Linked DNA regions of Tamandua tetradactyla. The protein of the gene in region 3 purifies or fractionates together with the protein of the main gene of each other region. This does not show direct contact. Links are inferred from orthologs where the notes say so. Each region holds a gene or a part of one and is shown on either strand. Other genes may lie near its edges.

Region 1 (7,833 bases), on a different chromosome or scaffold from region 3:
CAGAGAGCCTGGTCATGACATGTGCTTCGTAAGTGTCTTAATAAATTCCAGGTCTAGGTTTTGCTCTGGAACTAAAGCTGAAGGGCCACAGTGATGGTCCCCATGGGGTAAAGCCAACACCCACCTATTGCAGATGCTGCAGTGGTGTGTTCGGGCTGGCTTGGAGTAAATGCACTTTTTACAGATGGAGACAGCTGCGATATCATTCCTACCCTGGGCAAAGGAAGAAAAGCATCATGAAGCTGTGGCAACAACAACTTTACACCTTGCAAGATACCAAAGTACTTTCCCTCCCCACTTCTAGGACTGGTTCCCATAGTCTGCAAGTCCCCCTCCCCCCATGCCCTTATGGGAACTGACCTGGGGTGGGTATCCAGGTGGAGTGGTGATGGCCTGGTAGTAATGGAAGACAATCAGCACCAGATTCCAGTGACTATAGAAGAAATGCCAGCAGAGTCGTGGCACTGAGTAGGTTTGGAGAATGAGGGGAAGGACACATAGGTAGGCGATGGCCACAATGGAACTGGTCAATATGATCACCAGCACCACGAACACCTGCCAATACCAAGGAAGTCTGAAGATGTGGGTCAGGTAGAACCAGTAAAGGAGCCTTGCCAACACCCAGCAGAGACTCAGGAATATCCTGAAGGGTAGGGAGCTGGCTTCCAAAACCTAGTGGAGGTCCATCAGAGACATATCCCTTTCCTATCCCAAAACATCCCTTTTCCTGCTCCCTGGGCATCACTCACCACCCCAAACCAGCGGATCACGTTGTCCACCAGCCAGTAGATGGGCTCAAAGGCAGCATCGATAGCAGTGTCGCTGCCCCCAAAGGAGTTGTAGAGCAGGGAGCGCAGGCAGACCTTGCCATAGCGCCAGCGCTGCACCAGACCCCGCAACAGAGGTGGGCAGCGGCGCCTATAGCCCAGGAGCAGAAGCAGGCGCAAGCAGAGACGGGCTGGGCCTAGCAGCAGGCTCCTCTGGCTCCGCATGACTTCTAGGAAAACACACTATTGTGAGTATCAAGTCTGGTTCCTCTCCTTCCCTATCCTTGCCAGTGGGGAATCCAGAGTACCAGTTTAAGAGGGCAAAGACCTAATATCGAGCCCAGCTAGGCCAGTGACCAGGTGAATGTACAATGCCAATGTCCCCAACAGATTACATGAAATAGGAACTGGAGGTTATGAGTCTAGAAATTCCATTTACATTCCACCACTTGGGTGCACAGAAATCCAAGGTAATGAACATCTAGGGTAAAGGACCACAGCAAAGGGGTGAAGGACAGGTAGGCAGCTCCAAGGTAAAGCAGGATCCTTGGAATGATCTATGTAGACAGACCAGTGGGTGGAGTGTGTACAAAAATATCCATGTGTTTCTGTGGGCCTGGCCATTATAACAGGCAGCCCAGGGTCTAACAGGCTAACCTGACTCATCAACCTACCTGCTAAAGGTTGTTCTTCACCAAGGAACAGCAAGCTCCTCTAAGTCGGGGAGTGAGCACATGGCAAAGGGATCCTACACCTAGATCTTCCCTGATGCCGTGGGTCCTGACAAAGGTACTCCTTCCCATTCCCTCAGGCCAGCCAACTCAGCCTAACAGCATGAGATTCTCTGTCTGCCTGTCACTTCAGCTCAGCCATCCCTTGCATGATATAAGATGCCTTGTCTTCAATTCTAGTCCCAGAACCACTACAAGGATACAGAAGGGAAGACAACTTCAGGTATTTAGGGCAGAATAGCACTAGAGGCAGGAAACACTGGTACTTAGAAGGGGCCCCCATGTTGGCAGCTCAGGACAATCACAGAGCCTGCCCTCTGAGTGATAAGTCTCCTCTGCCTTGTTCAAGTTGGACACAAAAGCCTTCTCTATAGCTGCTGCCCTTGGCTTCAAACTTGTCCCCAGCCTTCCCAGCTCTTTAGCACTTTCCACAGCTGCTCTACAAGTGCTTTCCATCTCCTTTACGTTGTTTCTAACTCATTCAACAGCAATGGAAAAAGGGTTGGCTGCCCAGCCGATCCCCAGAATAGAACACAGTGCTCTGGCAGGTTCTTAAAATGACAGTCTCATCAATTCTGCAGATTAGAAGTTCTTTACCAGAAAAGAAACTTTCTCCTAGGGTGGCCTTGGAAGGCTGCTTTGTTTGTCCTTAGCAACTGCACTGACTTATTTAACAGGCAGCTAAAAACCCAGCAGAAATTGGAGGAGGCTGCTCCACTCTAGGGATGGTTTCAATTCAGTAACTGGAGCACTATATTTTCCTTGAACCCTGGCTCATCCCCACAAAAGGTCCTTCAAAGAGAACATTTCATTACCTCTATCCACAAGCCCTGCAACTACCTAAGGCAAAAAACAAAAACAAACAAAAAAACCTCAACAAACTAGGCCTACGGAGCAAGTGAAGAAAGACATTTGAATAGGGACCCACACTGCACCAGGATAAAGAAACTGGCCATTCCCATTACCTCCTAGGAAGCTAAGAGTATTAAGGCATGTGGGATGGCATATAGAAAAGAGAAAAAGGAAAAGCTCAACTTTCCTACCTTCATTCAGTTGAACTACCATTGTTTGGAACCATGATTTCGCTTAAAGAATGAATTTTCAAAATAACAGCCACAATCAAATACAACAGTGAGAGTAAACAGACTACCCCACAACAATTTCTGGTGACTTTTGGATTGTCCACACCATTGTTTATTCCCTAACTATGGCTAATGGAGAGTTTTCTATTTGCTAAAATACTTTTTATAGCAGTAGCTTGCAAATCAGATTCATTCTTTACCGGGTTCACCTCTGCCCCTAAGCATCACTTGTGACCTTGGGCAAATCACTGATCCTTGCTGGGACTCAATGTCCTTCTGTTCGCACACAACGAGAAAGTAGGACTAAATGCTAAAGTCCCTTCCATATCTAACCTAGTCTGGATATATATATGGTAAGGTATAAATGAAATGAAAGTGGTTAGCACAATACCTATCTCATGGAAGTGCTCAATAAATACTTGGTGAATGAATGAATGACCTAGAACACCTGGTTATGGGATACAGAAGTAGAAAGGCTGATCACATGCCTATCTGACCTACAAATACCAGCAAAGACACTCCTACCAACGTGACAACATTGAGTGTCTGCCACTATCATTCTTTCTGATCAAAGACAGAAACAGAAACCGTTATTAGAATCATAGTACTTAAGACCTAGAAGGCATTTTTAAAAATAAGTCCAACTGAAATAAACTCAAATATGTAAATAGAAAGTTTGTAGATGCATAGCTACAGATCAGGTTTGGGTAAATAAGGTCTGAAGCTAGCCCCCTACCCCCTTACTTTAGCTAGTAGGATATAGAGGGGATGGGGATGACATGGAAGAGAGATGCAGTTCATGGGACATAACTGAACATACGGCATTTTCATCTCAGGAAATTGAGGTAAGGGGGCACTCAAAAGCTGGGGTAAGGGGTGGTGATCTCCGAGTGAATGTGGGAAAAGAAAGAGAACACTGTCGTTTCACTATCACCTCCAAGCACAAAGCCCTGAACACTCTGATCCCTCGGTAGTAGCCACAGGCTATAGTGGGATTTGCCATCCGATTAGAGGGGACTGCAGGCCACTCATCACTCCGGGTTTCTTTTTCTAAGGCTCTAAGTCACCATTTACGTGGGGGAGAGGGGTAGGGGTGGGAGATAAGAAGAAACAGATTGCAACACCACAAGGAGGCAAAGGAAACTGAGATGAAAGTCGTGGCAAACCTCTTCTGGACAAATACTGCTCTCATGAGGACTGCGATCTCAAGCAGCACATAGTGAGCATCAGTAAAACAGCATTTTATTCATGTACAAGATTTCCTTTACGGGCTAACACGATGCAAAGAGGGAAAAGTAGCAACTTTATCATGGGGATGCTCATCAAAAGCTAAGGACGGACTCAAATGACTACAGCTCCTCTTGAGGGAATCCTACTGCAGGATCTGAAGCTGCAGTTTCACAAACAGGGAAAAGGTTTTACTTCTCAAAGAGGGCTCGTGGTCAAAGCCCGATGAACTGGAAGTAAATCAAAACAAAGCAAAACAAAAACGTGGGTTCCAGTTTGAACTCTACCTTGAACTATCTTCGAGACTGCACAAATCAAATCCTTTTCCGGATTAGTTTCCAAATCCGTGAAATGGGTGCGTTGGATTGGTCAAGGACCTGGTCCTGTTCCGCCCGGAATGGCCTGCACACAGAGCGTGGCGAAAGAGCACGAACCCGGGCTTACGTAGATGGAGAACTATCCCGGGATAGGGCCCGACCCTAGAAAAAGGACTGAAGTAGGGAGCAAGGACTGCGGCTTTGCTCTTACCTGCCAGCTGCCCAATCAGCGAAATCGAGTCCTGCAGCTTTCGCCACCACTTACTACCACACCCTCCAGCTCGGCACCCCGGCCGAGCCCGGCTCAGCACGACCCACCATGGCCCGCCACGCGCAGAGCCAGCCAGAGGACCCAGACCCACCGCCAGCCCATCCTGAACCACAAGCGCAAGCGCAAAATCCCGGGAGTTTCGGCCCTACTTGTCCCGGGGCAGGCTGGGAAATGGAGTTAACCCTCGAGGAGTCGCTTCCAGAGAGCGCCCGATGAAGCTCTCCAATTGACGCGCTTGTTACTGCGGCACTGCACCTCGGCCAGTCCAATGAGGAGTTGGCCTCATTTTCATCCGGGCTTTCGGAAGGGGTTAGTCATGGCGCCGCCCGTGAGGTACTGCGTCCCTGGTAAGCGAGCAGTGCCCGCAAAGTCCTGAATGGGGACAGAGGCAAGGATGCTGGACGGCCAGCACATTTGGGGGCCCCGAAATTGATGCAGTGTTTTATCTGCAGGCGAACGGCTGTGCAATTTGGAGGAAGGAAGCCCGGGCAGCGGCACCTACACCCGTCACGGCTACATTTTCTCCTCCCTTGCCGGCTGCATGACGAAGAGCAGCGAAAACGGCGCGGTAAAGGCTCCGCTTCCCATCTCTTCTGTCTCCTTCTTTTCCTTGGGCTTCTCTTGATTTTCATGCGCTTAGGCAGGGGCGCTGCGAACACCTGTTTAGTGCCTGGCCAGTAAAACGTTTGAGAGTTAGTCTCTGATTTTCTTCCATCTGTAATCCCCGCTGCTTCATTTCCCTCCACTCTTCACCTCGCCGCAATCCAGACACACCAGCTTCTTTCATTGTCGCTAATGCGCTGTACTCTTAACTTGCCACAGAGCCTTCTTACATTCGCATCTGTCTGGAACACTCTCCTCTACCTCTTGGTCTACTTAATATCTGCTTATCCTTCAGATAGCATCACTTTCTCATAAAAACCCTCCCGATCCAATAGTTGAGGAAAGGCGTTTTTGGTGTTTGTTTTTTGTTTGTGTTGCTAAACATTCTCAGAGAACTTTACTTCCAAGCATTCATCTCAGCGATTAATTAAACACTCACTTATGTGTTTCCCATTAGACTCTTAAGTTCCATGAAAGCAGGCCTCATTGTTGTACACTCAGCACCTAGCACACGATAGACGCTCATTAAATATTTATTGAGTGAGTAATACTGTCCTCCCTAGTTCCAGAGACTGATCCAGGATTAGCAGTCTTTGAAGGAACAACTTAAAGGCAGGTGCCACGGTAGAAAGAATTCAGAATTAGAACACTTAACTAGACTTTGATTCCGCCTTGAGTAAGAAACTTAAACTCACTGGCTTTAGGTTCTTTCTTATCTGTAAAATGAGAAATTTTTTATTCATTTTCAATTGGGAGGCTGTTCTTAACGTTCCTAAGTTCATTCTGTAGATGTCTGTTGAACGTTTTCATATTCCAGGTGCTGTGCTGACCTCTGATGATGTAATAATGAACTAAATACACATGGTCTCTGCTGGCAAGGGGTAGAGAAACAAATCATAAAGAACTAAATGCACAAATGAACATTACGTGGCACCGTGAGAACATGTAACAGGAAAGCCACCCTAGTCAGCAGAAGCGACATTTAAGCTGAAGAATAAGGGTTGGGTAGGTGGGGAGAGTGCATTCCTGGCAGAAGGAGCAGGTTAAATAGAGATCCTGAGATGGGAGGAAATTCAGTGAGTTGGGAAAATTAAAAGAAGGTCAGGAGAGCTGAAGCATAGTTGGCAAAGAAGAGAATGATTAAAGATGAGGCTCAAAAATATCTATCTTACAGCAACAGCCAATACCAGGCTCAAAGAAAAAATTCTATAAGTAATTTCTTAACATAGAAGAAAACAAGTATGGCTACTATTAGAAAACATTGTTTTGGAAATTTAGCCTTGTGCAATAAACTACATTAAGACTTGGTATAACTTTGGAAAAACGAGGCAAGTTATCAGCAATTGTAGGCAATATGGTTGTAGAACTAAATTTCAAGAATATCACCAAAACATATTAAAACTTCTCTGAAATAGTTAAATTATGTCTTCTGGCATTATTCTTCCCATGGCCTCTTGGTCCTCCTGTTATTTCTCAGATACTCTGCTATGGGCTAAAAAAAAATCCATAGTTCATTTGCCCTTTTAACCTCTCTGGACCAAGGCATTTCTTTATTACTTTAAGCCATGAATACTTTTATCCAAGGCTTAGTCGGTATACCGTTTTTTAATTGCTCTTTTTGTAGCTTCCTGTGGTGTCTGTGGTGAGAGAGACAGAGTCTCAATTACTGCCAGATGTGGGGGCTGTTGTAACCTGTAAGGTAAGTTGGTCTTTATCTCCTTGTTTATGATACCTGTCCAGTGCTGAAATCATGATCATTCTAGATCTGTGCTGACTGATATGGTAGCCATTAGCTATATATGGGTATTTAAGTTTAAATAAATTAAAATTAAATAAAATTTAAAATTTTGTTCCTCAGTTGCACAAGCCACATGAACTAGTGGCTGCTATATTGGTCAGTACGGAACATTTCTGTCATCACAGAATGTTTTATTGAATTTTTTGCTATCTACAGGGTTCTAGGATAATGACCAAGATAGCCAGTTTCAAGCATTTGTAGTTATTTCATTGTGCCAGTTCCCTGAGCATGTAGTACCTGTGTCGGGGAAACAGGAGTGCCATAGGTATAGGGAGGCCTATTTTTGAACATCTGAAAGTGAGACCTTTTTCTGCAGAGAAACAAAGGGCTAGTCTATTTTCTAGCATGTCTGTAAATTTAAAGTCTTTTAGGGTATTTCAGAAGTACAAATTAATGCTGTACATGTAATATTCTATGCCCATCCCCATACTCTGCCAGGGAAAATTAACTTGTACCTTTTAGTTCTTCTCTTTATCAGTTGCTCCAGCAGCAAATTTAAATGTTGCTCTGAAAATAACTGGAGAAACAGTGATTAAAATATCATGCAGTGGGTGCATGGTTGGTTCAGTGGTAGAATGCTCACCTTTCATGTGGGAGACCTGGGTTCAAATCCTGTACCATGTACCCAAAATATATATGTATATATATCACACAGCTTACCTAATTTAACTTGTATGGTCAGTTTATTTGAACACCATAACTACATGGACTCTTGAATAGGGCATGAGATCTTGTTGGTTTGTACAGGTTAATGGAATGCCTCGTTATATTCCAGAGTAATTTGGGCAGAAAATAAAAAAGTATTTGCAAAATCTTCTTGCAGGGGCTGGGGAAAAAGAAGGAAATATTCAACTTCCCCATCTGGAGAATACCTGATATTCTTACAGGCAGTGGGGACAAATAATTCAATAGGCTGAGCCCTCAGTCTTGGGATTTACCCCTGTGAAATTTATTCCTGCAAAAGAGAAGCTAAGCCTACTTATAATTATGATGAAGAGTCACCCCCAGAGAACTTCTTTTGTGACTCAAATGTGGCC
Region 2 (7,834 bases), on a different chromosome or scaffold from region 3:
TTTTCTGGGGCTGTTGACCAGAGCACTTACATAGATCTTTTCTGTATGGCTTCTCACATCATGGCTGCCTCAGGGCAGTCAGACATCTTTGGCAGGGCTCCACAGGCAAGTGTTCCAAGAGAACCAGGTAGAAGTTGCGTAGTCTATCTGACCTAGCTTTGGAAGTCATATAGTGTCACTTCTGACAGGCGCTACCAGTCAAAGCAGTCACAAAACTGCCCAGATGCAGAAGCAGGAGGCATTGATCCAAATTCTTTTTTTTTTTTTTTTAACATTTTTATTATAAAATAAATATACGCAAAGCAAAGAAAGAAAAAGCAACAATTTTCAAAGCACAGTTCAACAAGTAGTTATAGAACAGATCCCAAGGTTTGTCATGGGCTATCATTACACCATCTCAGATTTTCCTTCTAGCTGCTCCAAAACACTGGAGACTAGAAGGAATATTAATACAGTGATTCAACAGTCATAGTCATTTGTTAAATCCTATTTTCTCTGTTATACCTTTTCCTTCTCCTCTGATCTTTCTCCAAATCTATAGTAGTCTTTGGGCAATACCCGTTCTGACTTTTTCATGTTGAGAAGGAGTGTTGACACTAAAGAATAGGGGAACGTAATTAACTGATAATCTTGCAGAAGCTGGTCCCTCTGGATTTCAGGATTTATCTGATTTAGGAACCTTCCAGGAATTATAGGTTCCAGGAAAGCAAACTTCGCACATGAAACCTTTATAGAGTATCAATTTGAGCCCTGGGTGTTCTTAAGAGTCAATAGGAGTGATGGTGGTTGGGGTTTAGCAAACCATGGCAATTAGCAATAGATCCAAATTCTTGACTGAAGAGATGTCTACAAACTCATGGGCATGTTTAACAACCTCCATAAACAATATGGCTGTTTCTATTGTTTTTAGGAGAAGCAATACTGCAGTGAGCCTTTTTGTGCAGAAATCTTTGTGCATATATCTGATTAGAACATTTGTCCTGTTACTGTTATCATTTTAATGGAACACGAGGAGGAAGCCAGTGGGTGGATAAGGATTGTGGCAAGAGCTCTTGCAACAGTCTCCGCTGCCTCTATTTTCACGTTTCCCCATTCGTTTCCTTCACTTGAAGTTCACATGTCTTCTCACCCAGCTTGTCAGGCTCAGCAGTTCCCTCATGTCAAGGCTCACTCACTCTGTCAGGAAGGCTTTTCTGTTCCTTCGCTCCCACCCTCATCTCTGAACTCCTGAGCATGTGGAGAGCTGGGGCAGCAATGATACATCTCTGTAAACCCCACCGTGCCGGGTGCCATGCTTGCTGCACAGTGGGTGCTTGGCAGGTGTTTGCTGAATAAGTTCATTTGTTCATTCAACAAATATTTATTGAGGGTCTTCTTTGTGTCAAGTATATAGTTCTTGGGGCTGAGGATACAGCGATGAACAAAGCAGACAAAGTCTGGGCATTTGTGGAGCTCACATCCTGTTTGTGTGTCGGGGGCGGTGCACAGATGATAAGCAAACAAACAGGGAAATGTATATTTTGTAAATGTATCATTTTTATCAACAAATATTTTATGGGTGCCTTCTGTTTGCCTGACATGGTTCCAAGTGTTCATATAAGTTGTCCAAAACAGATAAAGTCTTGTTCTTAGAGCACGTGTGCTCTAGGGGAGGCCCTCACAGCAAACAACCAAAGAAATAAACAGGAAAACTCAACGACCAAGAAATAAAACAGCTCAAATGATTAAAAAAGAAAGGACCAGAGGGCTATTCCAGATAAAGTGGTCAGGGAAGGCTTCTTTGAGGGGGTGCTGTTTGAGCTGAGATCTGATTGAGGAGAAGGAGCCAACCACACAAAGACCTGGGAGAAGAGGAGAATTCTGTGCAGAGAGTTAAAAATGTACTGATACTGGGGTGTGTGGAATAGAGAGGAGGCCCAGTGCAGCCAGCTTCATCGTAGCCAGTAAAGGGAGTGGATTAGATGGCGAGTGAGATCCAAGCCAGGCAGGAGCCAGGTCCTACAGAGCCTCAGTGCTCCCCAGTGATGAATCTGAATTTTATTTTTAGTCTACAAGGAAGCTGCCAGAAGTGTTTCAGCCTGGAAATGATTTAATCAGATCTCTGTTTTAAAAAGATCACTCTGGCTACTGTATGGAGAACGGACCATAGGGGAGGTGAGGCCAGGTAAATATAGAATTAGGGAGGCAACTGAGGGGGTTATTACAGTCACTCAAGTGAGAGGTAATATCGATTAGTCTGGGGCTGTGGCCGTGAAGCTGCACAGATGGGGAGGTAGATGGACATTGGGGGAAATTGGCGAATGTTAAATCTGATCAACTATAAATCACTCAGGGAGTTAAAATACACCCTCACAAGGGGTACACGGATAGTTCAGTGTCAGAATGCCCACCTTTCATGCGGGAGAACCGGGTTCGATTCCTAGACCATGCACCCCAAAATACAAACAAACAAAAAATCTTTGCAAAAAAACCACCCTCACAGACTTGTGGACCCTACCCTTGAAGAGCCTCGATGCCTGAATCTGGGTCCAGGAATCTGTATCTTTATCACATCCCTCAGGGGTGTGCAACAAAGTTTCTGGGTACTCATCTCTCTACATGGTAGGAAAGAAGCAAGTATAAAACACCTAGCAAAGGACCAGGCCATTGGGAAGTGTTTGATAAATGCAAGCTCTACCTCAGTGGCCTGCCACCATTTGCTGTGCGAATTCTAGTCATTTCAGTTTCCTCACCAATAAAAAAGGTATCCATAATTCCAATGTTGTGACAAGCTTGACCAACTGCAAATACTGTGAGAATGGGAGGGGTTTAGGGTATGTCCTTCCTTCCTGGAATGAAACAGGATGATGTAAGTACTTTAACTCACTCCTTGGTTGCCAGCATTGTGGAGGGATGGGAGGGCTTGTCTCCTCACTGCCTGGGCTGTGCTGGCTCACAGGGCACCACTGCCACCATATGGCCATGGTGAGACTCAACAGATGGGTCATTTTTATTTTTATTAACACTTTTTATTTATTTATTTATATCAGAATTTATTCAGGTATAATCTAATTACTTTTATTTTTTATTTTTTTAAATTTTTATTGATAAAACAACGTACAAGCACATGAATTCTTAATGTACAAACATTTCATACATGGTGTACAATCAGTGGCTCACAATATCATCACATAGTTGTATATTCATCACCATGATCATTTTTAGAACATTTGCATCACTCCAGAAAAAGAAATAAAAAGAAAAAAGAAAACTCATACACATCATACCCCTTACCCTTCCATCTCATTGACCACTAGTATTTCCATCTACCCATTTTATTTTTTAATTTTGACATTTGTTCCCCCTATTATATATTTTTAATGCATATATTTTACTTATACCAGATGGGTTATTTTTGCACTCTCTTCCTCTCTAGTGCCTTCCTCAAGGCAGAGAGAAGGGTGAGGGTCAGGTCTGCCTACTTGCCAGATGACCAGTGGATCACTCAAATTTGTATCAGGTTGCCTCACAGGCCTGGCTTTCTTTACAAGTGTAGTTCTGAGCATTGCTTGGGTGAAAGAAGTGCTATCCTTTCAGCGATTTATAAAACAATTGGTCTGACTGATCTTTAGGAGGCAGCCGGCCTGATTTACTGAGCACAACTGTGTATGTATGAAAAATTGTCATCTCCAGTTCCCTAAGGATGAGACTGTTTGCTGTAAATGCTATAAACCATCCAGGGCAAGTCAGGGACAGGGAAGTGAAACCCAGGAGAAGACACCAGGGAGAGGCTCCTACAGGACCTGGAGGTAAAGCCACAAACACCTCGGTTCTCACTCAATCCTTAGAACAGTTGGGCACACAGTGCTCGATTTGCTGTATGAAAAAATGCAAGTGATTTTCTTTTTGTACTGTGTGTGCATTTGTTCTCCTTGCCAGATATGCCTGCCTTGCAAAGTTTTCTTGGATAGCTTTTTTCTTTTTCAAAATCATCTCCTCTCACTCAAAATAAATTATTATGAAAGGACAGAACCAGCATGGACCTGGAGCTCTGTTTCCGGATATAGAAGACGGTCGGTATTGAACCAGCATGCATCCGGCGGTGGTGATGCAGAATACTGGAGTTAGTAGGAAAGGTGTGAAAAGGGGCTCTTCTTTCTATGTAAAGAAATGTTTTCTGTTGATCCCACCTTCCCATCCTCCTGATTTCGCTCGCTTGTACACTCTCCCTCTCTTTCACTCGCACACTGAGACACATAAAGGCTTAGAGTTGAAAGGAAACTCAGAGGTCCATTTTTCCAAATACTTCCAATCCTCGTAAGCAATAAATAGGATGATGAGTATGAGACAGTTTTGGTAAAATGTCAGGCGTCACGCAAAGTGAGATTTTTATACTGTCATTTCACGGGGGGAAGCCTTGACAATATAACAAATACGACAACTTGGCTGCGGCTTTCCCCTAAAGTTAACCCAGCGGCTGCCAATAGCCAACATGGCCGCCCGCCCGCGGGATCCCATTGGTGGATGCCCCGAGGCCCCGCCCCGCGCTGTTCCTCCGCCCCTGGAGCTAGGGAACTGCGGCGCCGGATATCGCGGCTTCTGGTACTTGGCGCCAATATGGCGCTGGAAATGAGGCTTCCTGTTCCTCGTAAACCTCTTAGCGAGAATCTGGGCCGCGAGACTAAGAAACACCTGGTGGTGCCGGGGGACACGATCACTACGGACACGGGCTTCATGCGGTAAGTGGGGACGCGGGGGCCTTGGGCCCCAGCAAGCAGCTCCAGGGCTCTCTGCACGTGGCCTGATGGGCCGAAACCTGGGCCTCTGTCCGGTGCGTCTAAGTCTCCCGGAACCCAGGGCACAACTTCAGCGCATCCCATTCGCCAGTTTTCCAAGGCCTCTGGCTTGGGATCCCCTGCATCTTTTGTGTCCCCTTCGGCACCTGTCTCAGACTCCCGAAACCCTCCTCTCCTGACTTCTGGTACCCGTGACGCCCGTGTCCTCTGCCTGAGGCCAGGTCTCTGAGCTTTCTTCGTTGGAGTCCTGAAAAACCGAGGAGGGTTAGGAGCAGGGGCCTCTTTCCGGTTTTCAGCTGTTTGAGGGAACAGGGGGCTTTCCTGATTTGGCCTCTTTCTCACTTAGGTTCATCTCGGGGCCAGAGGTTCAGTTTTGGAGTCAGTAATTGTTTGGGCTTAGAGCAAACAAAATACACGAACTTTGAGTCTAAGGGCAGTTTAATGGGTTCTAGTTAAGGAGCAGATTCCCGAGGCAGTTCGGGTTCCAGTCCTCTCCCTATTCTTAGCGGAAAGATCAGTTTACTTTTCTGTAAAATAGTAACAACAGTAACTATCTGATGGGGTAGTGAGGATCCAATGATATAATGTAAAGAAAGGAGTCAGAAACCACCATTATCCCACCACTACCACAGATAATATAAACCTTTTAGTGATGCTTCAGCCATTTAAAAATTTGGTACACATGTGCTATTACATACGTGAGAACTACGGCTTTTACAGCATTGTCCTTTAACCTTTTAGTGTGATGTTTTAGGATCCTAGGAAATCTAAAGATTCATTCCTTCATTCATGCATTCAGCATATATTATGTGTGGTTTGTATACAACAGTGAACAAAATGAAAACCTCTGTCCTGGTGGAGTTTATATTCTAACAGGGAGAGTCAGATAATAAACAATAAGCAAAACAAAGAAATTGTGCAGAATGTTTGGTGATCATTTCAGGGGAAAAAATAAAAAGTTGAGCAGAGTAAGTGGAATGGGATTGGGAGTCTGGTGAGGGTGGTGGGATCAGGATGGTTTGCAATTTTAAATGGGACACATAAGGTAGGCCTGATGAGGAAAGTGACATTTGAGCAAACTTGAAGAAGATGAGGGAGATGTCCGTGTAGCTGTCTGGAGGAGGAATATTCCAGGTTCCCGGCTGGGAGAGCAGCCAGTGCAAAAGCCAGGCTTTAATGTGGGAGGAGCCTTTTTGGTTTGAAGAACACGTTTTTGAGGGGAGAGGTCGTCTCAGATGTTACCCTGGTATCCTATATATCTGTGTCTTGCCACAGGGGTCATGGAACTTATATGGGGGAAGAGAAGCTCATAGCATCTGTGGCTGGTTCTGTAGAGAGAGTTAACAAGTTGATCTGTGTGAAAGCTTTGAAAACCAGGTGAGAACAAAAGGTGTGTATTCTCTTTCTTACTGCATCCATGTTGCATGACCAGATTTCCCCCCTCTACCTGCCCCCATCTGTCCGATCATTCTGGGGGATCTGAAGCTTTCCACATGACTATAGGAATGGTGGTAAAGGTAAATGTGGGCTGCAAAGGTTTCCCCACATTACTTAACTTCTCCAAGCTTTGGTTACTTCCTCTGCAAGATGAGGAGAATAGTATCATCTACCTTGTACAAATTTCATCAGAATCTAGTGAAATGATGCACTTAGCCCTGTGCTAAGTGCCTAGAAGGGCTCGGTAAATGTTGGTCCTAGAAGGATGTCAGTGGGGTTAGAATAGAGTGAGCAGAGGGGGAGAGAAAGAACAGATACAGACACAGAGCTGAGGTGGGTGGATAATCTGGCCTGCCTTGAAGGCCTTTGTGAGCATTTTGGCTTCTACTTTGTGAAATCTGGGAAGCCACTGGAGAGAATGAAGCAGAAGAAGGACACAATCTGTGGTTGGTTTTTTTTTTAATTTTTTAACTGTTTTAGTAAAATCACTGACTGCTGTGGGAATCGGGGCAGACATAGGGAAATGGATTAGAGGACTGCTTTGCAGTCCAAAGTGCTGATACAGTGGAAGTAGGGGTATTTGATTCTGCATATATTTTGGAGGTAGAGCTGGCAGGATTTACTGCTGGGCTACTCATGCAATTTGAGAATTAGGGAATAATCAAGGCTGACTCTCCAAATTTTAGCCTGAGCACCTGGGGGATGGAGTTGCCATTTACTGAACTGGGGACAGCTGGGAGAGGTGCACGTTTCTGGGAGTGGAAGGGAGTGGCATGAAGCTTATTTTTGGGCTTGTTACATTGGGAGTGCCTATTCATAATCTAAATGGGGTTGTTGGGTAGGTAGCCGTTAAATAGTTTGGGCTTGTTACATTTGGGAGTGCCTATTCATAATCTAAATGGGGTTGTTGGTTAGGTAGCAGTTAAATAGAACCTGGAGTTCAGGGTAATGATACAGTTATCAATGGTGTCTAAAGCCATTAGATTGAGTGGACACACTGAGAGATGAGTGGTTAACTGAAAAGAGATGAGGTCCAAGTCTGAGCTTTCAGTACTGGAACACTTCATAGTTAGAATTAAAGCGATGAAGTACTTGCAAAGGGACCTGAGATGGAGCAGCCAGTAGCTTCCCTCCCAGGGGGAGACAGCGAGGAGACCTATTTGGGGGGCATTCTGTCTCAGAATCTCATTTCTCCTCTTTTGACTGGTACTAAACCCATCTTTGTTCCAGAGCCCACAGGAAAATTTTCTGTGTTTTTTATTGTCATGTAATCTAACAGAATAGGGATTTCAGGCTGAATGAACTATTTGCAGAAAGTGATTTAAGAATAATTAACAAGATTTTATATATATAGGAGTTTGAAATTATCAATTCCTGAAAGTAAGTCTGAACGGCATAGTTATGTGAATTTGCTAAATGTGATGCCTAATTAAGGCCTTGTCCTTATTTGAAATCTCAGATGGTGCTTGGTCATGTTAGAAATTTGTTTGCTAATGACCTCTTATTTTATCTTTTAGATACAATGGTGAAGTGGGAGACATTGTAGTGGGGAGAATCACAGAGGTAAAGTTTATATTAAATTGGTTGTTAAAAGTAAGAGGTGAGCTGGTGATTTAATGCAT
Region 3 (8,078 bases):
AAAAAAGGGCCATAGCACAGGCACAAGCACTAGGGGATGTAGACCCAGACCTGCCCTATGAATTCGACATAGCCAGCACTGATATTGGCCTTGGGTGGGGTCTGTGGCAGAGGTAACATTCTAAATGAATACCCCTTGGCTTCTGGTCACAATTATGGAAAGAAACAGAACTGAGAAATAGCCCCCTGGAAAAGGAATTGTATGTTGCATAGATTGCCTTATTGTAAGTAGAGGGACTGACACAAAGATATACAGTCACCTTGAAAATGGCCGTCCCCATTCAGGGATGGATAACCGACATGGCTTCTAAGGCATTCTCTGGAAATGCCCAACTGAGCATACTAACCAAATGGAAAGCCTACCTGCTACAGAGTAGCATTTTTACTATGAGTCCTCTGAGTAGTACAAGAAATGTACAGAATTCTCAGACCAGTGTCCTATATAGAAGATTCAACAGCTAAAGTCATGGCACCTGAAATAGCTGTTGAAATGTCCACTACAGAAGGCACCGGTACCATTCCTGAGTCATTGTACCAAACAGGCACACTGATTGGTACACTGATATACTTGTGGACAGTCTCCCACATGGACAATAAGGGCAGTATAACCCAGTATTGACATTAAATAGTGGGAGACTGACACTATGCAGAGCAGTCAATGAGCTGAGTTAAGAACAGTATGGATGGTAATGTAGTGCATGAATCATGCGCTGGTTGAAACTGTTATGTACCCCAGAGAAGCCATGCTCTTCTAATCCAATCTTGTGGGGGCAGAGCTATTGTTGGGTTGGACCTTTTGATTAGGTTGTTTCCTTGGAGATGTGACCCAACCAATTGTAGGTAGGTCCTTTTGATTGGGTTGTTCCCATAGAGATGTGACACAATCAACTGTGGACTGGACTTTTGATGAGGGAGATGTGACCTTACCTATTCAAGGTCTCCAGTAATTAGTTTACTGGAGTCCTTAAAAGAGCTCACCAAGAGAGGTTCAGAGCCAAAATAGAGAGCAGAGGCCAAGACACAGTTGTCTGAAGATGCAGAAGGAGGATGCCCCAGGGGATGCTAGAAGGACCTACAGGACCTGAGGGAGTCATTTGAAACCAGAAGCTGGGAAAAAAGGACAACAGACATCACTACATGCCTTCCCATGTGACAGAGAAACCATGGACGCCATAGGCCTTTCTTCAGAGTCAAGTTATCTTTCTCTGGATGCCTTGGTTTGGATATCTTAAAGGCCTTAGAACTATAAATTGTAACTTAATAAATCCCCTTCATAAAAGCCAATCTACTTCTGGTATATTACATTCTGGCAGCTTTAGCAAACTGAAAGATTTTGGCAAAGAAGTTGGGTGCCAGGAGACATGTTAACTATCTGTACCAACAGCTGGGCTGTTTATAAAGGCCTTACGATCTGGATGGCAACCTGGAAGCAAGACCAATAGACAGTCATAGGTCACCCCTCTGGAGACAAGAATTGTGGAAAGACATCTGGGATGCCTGCCAACAATAAAAGCCAATTACAGCTGCCAATCACATGCCAACAGCTAGTGGACATCACCAGAGAATGCCCACGATGCTCCCTGTGTCAACCAAATAGTTTATCACATCAAATGGGGCACATCAGCCAGTCACAAATCCTGATGATCCTGTGGCAAGTGGATTACATCAATCCCCTTCCACTCTCAGAGAGGGTGAGGTATGCCTTTACCACCATGGACATGACCATAGGACTGTTGATAACTTTCCTGATAGGGAAGGCAAACTAGCAGGCCACTGTCTGATGTTTGGAGAAAGTGAGCACTCTGTATGGTGTGTCTACACAGACAGTGATCAAGTTACCCCTTTCCCTGGACAAACAGCCCCATCTTGGGCCATGGATCAGGACATCATGTGGATGTCCATCTGCCCTACAATCCCACAGGTGCAAGCCTTATTAAAAGAATGAATGTTTCGTTAAAGGAACAGCTAAAAGATGATAAGAAGTCCTTGTAGCAGTGGACTAAAAGGTTCTATAAGGCTTCAACTCACTTGAATGCAATGTAGTGGGTTATCGTACCTGCCCCCATAGAAATGCTAATGGTAGGACACATGCAGGCCCCAAGAATACAAATTAAAGGGCCAGCCATTTTGCAGCTGAAAAGGGGAAATGACAATAATATGTTGTTGCCTGTGCCTCAGACCATACAGACAGGGAAAACAAGATACTTTGGCCTTAGTGCTGGTCTATGCAGCTGCACTGGTTGAGAATCCTAAATCCACATACTGTGGAACAGGAGTCACTGAAAATATTGTAACCTGACCATCATTTATACTAAAAAAAAAAAAAAAAAAATTGCCTGTTAAAATTTTTATCACCAATCTGGGGCCTCCTAGTCCCACGGAAGCTTTACCCATGACTATATGGATCCTTCTTATACGCAGATTAGCAATTAATGTAATGGTAGAGGACTCTCAAGATTTGGAGAGAACAAATATGTGGTATTTAAAACCTCCCCATAGTGTCCTTCTGCCTGGTACCTAATTATCCACCAATGGAACTCTTAGCACATATATTATTACATCAGCAGAAAATACCCCTTATCGTTCCCCATAAACACTTTTCTTTTTATCCATAGTGCCCTAGCAAACGCCTTTCTACAATGGCTTCAGCCGTAACTTATGCCCACAATCAAACCCAATGTTGGGTTTGCACAGATTTGCAATCTTCAGGAGCTACTAGCCTTCCTTGGACTGTGATCCCTGAGAACTGAACTGTGTGAAATACCCTGCTGGCCTGGCAAAATTCAATGCACAGGAAAATCTGGAAGAAAATCTTCTCACTTAAGACTGAAATCCAATTATTGTCCTATGATGAGACTAGGAGTTGCACCTTCTCCCTTGTATGGGAACAGATGAACAAGCCGCAGCCTGTATTGGAGTATGCTGTATTTGGTGGTTTAGGGTGGCTGCCAGCAGAACCTGTAACAGACCATGTTGCCCTGTCTGTATGTAACAACTTGATGGAATTCATAACAAGGGGTGGGTATTGTGTGATTTTACTGTTAAACTACAAAACAATAGTCTTTTTCACTGGCAATATATCACCAACAAACATGCCAGTCTTCCCACTGACAAGATATCTCTAAGCAACATCATCCTTCCCCTAAGAGATGGCTATGGACCGGTGGGCAATATAGTTGGCCCTATTTACTTTGTAAATACATGGGACAGGCCAATGTCCCCGCTACCTTATATGACCTTTTACCCCATACGCCTAGTAATTTGGAAATGGTTAAAGCTAGATATAGAATAAAATGCACTCCCTAGTGGTATTATCCTTTAGCCATTCTTGTACCAAGTGGAGCTGCAATTGTTACTGAAAAAGCACGTGACACCTTTAACAGATCACACTGCCCAAGCACTTAATGATTCCAAAATAGCTATCGCCTTGCTAAATGAAGAAACCACACAACTTAGAAAAGTAGTTTTACAAAATAGAAGGGCCTGAGATATTCTCACTGTAGCACAAGGCGGCACCCGTGCCTTAATTAACGTGCAATGTTGCACATGTATTTCGGATCATTCACACAATATTTCACAAGTTCGGAATCATATGCAAGAGCATAATATTGCTCAATTATCAGTAGACCCCCTGTCTAAATGGTTTACTTCCTTTTCTTGGCCATGGCAGCATCTCTTTGTGGGGTTATCTCTGTATGGGGGACACCTATTCTGTGTCTGTTACACTTTTGCTGTGGAACATGGATGCAATATCTGTGCTGTGGTCAACCTGGTTTGCTGAGTGGGAATGGATTGCGGAGACACAGGGCCCTGCCCCACCTCTTCCATATTGAGAATCAGTGACTACAGGGAGCAGCCTACAATGACCCAGACAGAAGTAAGAGGTCATTAAACCTCCCGGGGAGGTGGTGCAGGGGAGTATAGATGATATCATAAACAAAGGATTAAAACTCCCCTTCCTTGACCACTACTGATGATAAGACTCCAGACCCCTGTGTCACAACCCTGCCGAACTCTGGTCTCAAGCCCTATAGAATGTCTCTGTTTTAAACCCTTATAAGCTGACCCCTTGCACTCCAGGCCCCTTAGGGAGCACAGACTTTCACTTTCCAGACGGCCACCGTGTGGACAGATCTCCTGTTAGTAAATCCCAATAAACCCAAGCCTAACTCTCTGCCAAGGGTGGTCTCTGGTCTTTGGGTTGTGCTGGATTGGGACAGGACATCCTTCTTAGATAACAAAGAGATCACTTAAGCACAAAGACGCAGTTAATAGGTGAATGTAACATGGTTTTTCACCGATTTGTAGCTTGGTGGTTAAGAGTCCTGCTGAACCAGACTGCCTGGATTTACAGGCCCCCTCCTTCATTCTTAATTTGGGCTCATTAAGGAAGTGCCCTATATTTTACACAACTGCAACAAGGCGAGGATGAGAGAACCGCCACGCGGGGCTACTGTGAATACGAACTGAATTATTACGTAAGAAGCCGCGATCCAGATGAGAAGGCAGGTCTGGCAACAATCGCAAATGCTCACTGGAATGCCTGAAGCGGGGCCCCCGAGAGGCACACACTCCACGCGCGCCTGGGGGACCAGGGACGGGAAGCTGGCGGAGAAGGTGGCCATCAGCTCTCGGTCTACTCTGATCTGGGGTCTCTCTACGGGCGCTAAGTCCACTAGAACTCCGCGTCGGCAGCCCACAGCAGCCTCGTCAGCTCCCTCGGGCGCCAAGCCCAGCTGAGGCAGCGGGCCGGGGCCACGGGGCAGGCGATCTAGCGTCACGTATGACGCCACGACGCACGCAGCAGCACGCATGCGCGGCAGGGCTGAAGGCTGGAACGCGGCGCCGGATGGGAGGTTGGCATGGCGGCCGAGCAGAAGAGCAAGTTGTCCAAGAATCTGCTGCGCATGAAGGTGCGGTGGCACGGGCCGGGCTGGGCCGGGCGGGGCGGTGGGGCAGCCGGTCTTCCGGGCCAGGCTGGGGCCGAAGCGGCGGGCGCACAGGGGCACCAGAGAGGGCCCGGAGGGCCTCCAACTTTCGCGTTCATTCTTTCATTTTGAGCCGTCTCCGTATTAGGCATACCGGGTTATGAACTAGGAGCGGGGACACGTACACGAGTGGTTAGAATACAGCGTGCCGGGAGCACTCGTGGTGGAGCGCGGAGCTCTGGGACCTCACCTGGACTCAGCTTCAAAGAAAGCATCTCGCGGAAACTAGCCCTTAGGCTGAGGCTGAAGGATAAGTTGTGGCAGGGGCCATATGGGGAACATAGGAGCGTCAGCTGAGTGAAGGGCGTGTTACAGTCTAAAAAGCTGTTAAAAGAAAAAAAAAAAATAAAACAAGCATGGAGATTTTCAAGAACTGAAAACAATTTAGTATGACTGGAAAGAAAGTAGCAGGAAATGAGGTTGGAAAAGTAGACAGTGGTCACAGGGTGCAGGGCATTTGGGGCCAAACGAAGGATTGTTACCTTTATCTTAAGAGCAGCGAAAAGCTGTCGAGCACCAGGGTCAGTCATTTGCTGTGCATTGTACTTTTATTTACTTTAATGTTAGTTTTGACTCTTCAGTGGAGAATGCTTTGGTGGAAGGAAGGCCGTATCATGAACAAAATTGAAGTCAGTAAGCCAGTTAGAAGTTCTGATGATCCCAGTGAGGGTAGATGATGCCCTGAGTAAGGTGCGAATGGAGAGAACTATTATAGTTGAGGTGCAAGTGAATTGTTATCTCACCGAATTTTAAGAAAAATTGTTTTTGTATTTGAGATTGGAAGCAGTTTAACTCTATAGTTTCGAAGTGAAGAGGAGGTGAGGGGAGACAAGGGTAAATATAATGTATATAGGAATTAAGACAAGGAAAACAGCCAAATCGTAAAACAAAAACTTGTTCTGGGTATTTTGCATGTAGTAACCCATTTAATCCCTGTAATAACTCTGAGTTAACTATGGTTATTATCTTTTTTTTTCAGCTGAAGCAATTGAAACAGAAGTAGCTTGCCAAATACACAGGCTAAGAAGTAGTGCAGACAGGACTCTTAACACAGACAAATTTCGTTCTAGAACCCCACTTCATAATGACTACACTGCCTATTGGTGAACACTACTTATAGAGATATGCAAACTGTTAAATGTTTAGAGGGTCTGGTGGAATTTCTAGCAAAAGGAAAATAAGAAATAAGTAATGTTTAAAAGATCAGAGAGTAAGCATTGTGTGTACAAGATTCAAATGGAGCTGGAGTGAGGGTATGACTAGGGGAGGATGCAACTAGGGATGAATAGGGTGGGTGAGGGTAGAGGGTAAATTGTAGAATTATTTTGTTCTGATGTACTGCTTTCAGGCATATTAGCAAAATTTGAAATTTTAGTGAGTAGAATTTTCTTCTTGTTTAATGGTTTGTAATCATGTAGACTTCAGAGAAGTGACATGCATCCACAGCAGGGGATTGAAAAGATTTTAGCTGTTATTTTCCCTCTTGTAATAAGCCAAATGGATATGTGCTGAGTGATTTTAGGTTCCAGACAGAAAAGCTGATTCTGGAACTAGGAAGGAAGAAATTAACTTTAAAAAACAATTGCCAAAAAAAAAAAAATGCCCACCCTCACCCTAATGATTGGGGTTGGAGACTTAGCTGAATGTTGGAAGCAAATGTGAAACAAAAAAAGAAGAAGGAGAATGAATAAAATGTTCTCAGTTTGGGTTAGCAAGTTCAGTTTATGGTCCGAAGGAATTTACAGGATTAGCAGGAAGGAATTTACAGGATTAGCAGGAGACACTAAACACATGGGAGTGGAATGTCCTGTGAGAATGAATGGAGCAGCTATAGACTTAGGCTACTATATACAGTATAGTTCAGCCAGTGCCAAGTACAGAACAGGAATAAGAGAATTGAAGTTTTAATCCTTGTTTGAACAACAAACAGTGCTTGAAAACTCTAACTCTGTCAGCTATTGCGAGGTGAGGAGAGAGCCTGTTGGGAAGTTGAAAATGAAGGATGTTGTTGGAAGGTCTGTCAGTATGATGATTTGGTTGTAGAGAGGGCTTTTACTTTGTGATTTTAACTGTTTTGCCCTTAAGAATCTACAAACTTCATAGGGGTTGGCCCTTGAAGTACAGCTTGCAGGTTGTACTATCTTTCCTGCAACTACTCAGTTCTGCCATTGTACTGAGAACCATAAGCACATGGCTATATTCCAGTAATGCTTTATTTACAAAAACTGGTGGCTATAGTTTGTGACCCCTGCTGTAGGTCATCTCTAACTTTCAGAGTGTGTTCTCAGATGCTGTAGAGTAGGAAGAATTAAATTGTAACCAAAGTCTGGAGTTTCTTGATTTGTATTTAAGAGTGCTCTATCCTTTCCATATTTTTGAAAGAGAATGAGAAATCCTGTATATTATACCATAAAGAATGCCTACTGACTAAAAACAGAAGATAAAGTGGCAGTTGGCCAGGATTGGTGCATTTCACTGCCTGAAATAAGAGTGATGAAATAATGCTAAAGAAGCATCCAAGAAAAGGAGACTCGTAAAATAAGACAAATCTAGACTGAATAAGAGAAATGGTCTGCTATTCAGAGTCTCAGTCTTTTGGAAAACACAAAAGAATCCTGATGAATGGTATATGAAAATCAGGGAAAGATGCTTGGTCCTAGCAAAAGGACATTTGCTCTGTACCTTGAAGAGTGAATATTTTGCTGCCTATAAATGGCAGCATGATGTTGAATAGCAAAGGTGAAAGGATTTGGAAATAGAAAGTATGCATTCCTGAAGCTGCAAGTTCTTTCAGAGTATGGTATCTTTGGGCTGCAAAACAATTTAAGTAGTTTGCAAACTTTTTTTATAACTTTTTATTTTAAAATAATAATAGATTCACTGGAAGTTGGGAAAAAAATATGCAGGGAGGTCCCATTTAGTCTTCACCCATACCTCCAATGGTAACTCCTGCTATTAGAGTGTCATCAAAACCAAAAAATTGACCTTGGTACATACAATCCAGAGAGTCATTCACATTTCACCAGTTTTGTATTACTCATTTGTACATGTTTTATAGTTGTATGCAGTTTTGTCACCTGTGTGGATTTGT

The links. Proteins that work in one complex are often made in the same cells at the same time.
Region 1: the proteins of MPHOSPH6 (region 3) and EXOSC1 purify together in Homo sapiens (affinity purification with mass spectrometry; 5 studies listed by BioGRID and IntAct, counting the BioPlex papers as one, with this or other methods). This does not show direct contact. The link is inferred for Tamandua tetradactyla from reciprocal best matches to the Homo sapiens genes MPHOSPH6 and EXOSC1.
Region 2: the proteins of MPHOSPH6 (region 3) and EXOSC2 purify together in Homo sapiens (affinity purification with mass spectrometry; 8 studies listed by BioGRID and IntAct, with this or other methods). This does not show direct contact. The link is inferred for Tamandua tetradactyla from reciprocal best matches to the Homo sapiens genes MPHOSPH6 and EXOSC2.

Annotation. Positions count from the first base shown.
Region 1 is NC_135339.1:58,766,216-58,774,048, reverse strand, and holds the start of EXOSC1 (exosome complex component CSL4), read left to right. Parts: upstream 1-4,545; 5' UTR 4,546-4,663; coding exon 4,664-4,742; exon of another isoform or gene 4,743-4,847; coding exon 4,848-4,963; exon of another isoform or gene 4,964-5,806; intron 5,807-6,622; coding exon 6,623-6,697; intron 6,698-7,833. Other genes in the region: palmitoyltransferase ZDHHC16, read right to left, coding at 125-213, 361-555, 750-992. UniProt on the Homo sapiens protein: Non-catalytic component of the RNA exosome complex which has 3'->5' exoribonuclease activity and participates in a multitude of cellular RNA processing and degradation events.
Region 2 is NC_135328.1:53,593,223-53,601,056, forward strand, and holds the start of EXOSC2 (exosome complex component RRP4), read left to right. Parts: upstream 1-4,546; 5' UTR 4,547-4,596; coding exon 4,597-4,718; intron 4,719-6,050; coding exon 6,051-6,152; intron 6,153-7,729; coding exon 7,730-7,775; intron 7,776-7,834. UniProt on the Homo sapiens protein: Non-catalytic component of the RNA exosome complex which has 3'->5' exoribonuclease activity and participates in a multitude of cellular RNA processing and degradation events.
Region 3 is NC_135342.1:76,859,511-76,867,588, reverse strand, and holds the start of MPHOSPH6 (M-phase phosphoprotein 6), read left to right. Parts: upstream 1-4,813; 5' UTR 4,814-4,861; coding exon 4,862-4,912; intron 4,913-5,742; exon of another isoform or gene 5,743-6,240; intron 6,241-8,078. Other genes in the region: uncharacterized protein LOC143659822, read right to left, coding at 4,478-4,813. UniProt on the Homo sapiens protein: RNA-binding protein that associates with the RNA exosome complex. Involved in the 3'-processing of the 7S pre-RNA to the mature 5.8S rRNA and play a role in recruiting the RNA exosome complex to pre-rRNA; this function may include C1D.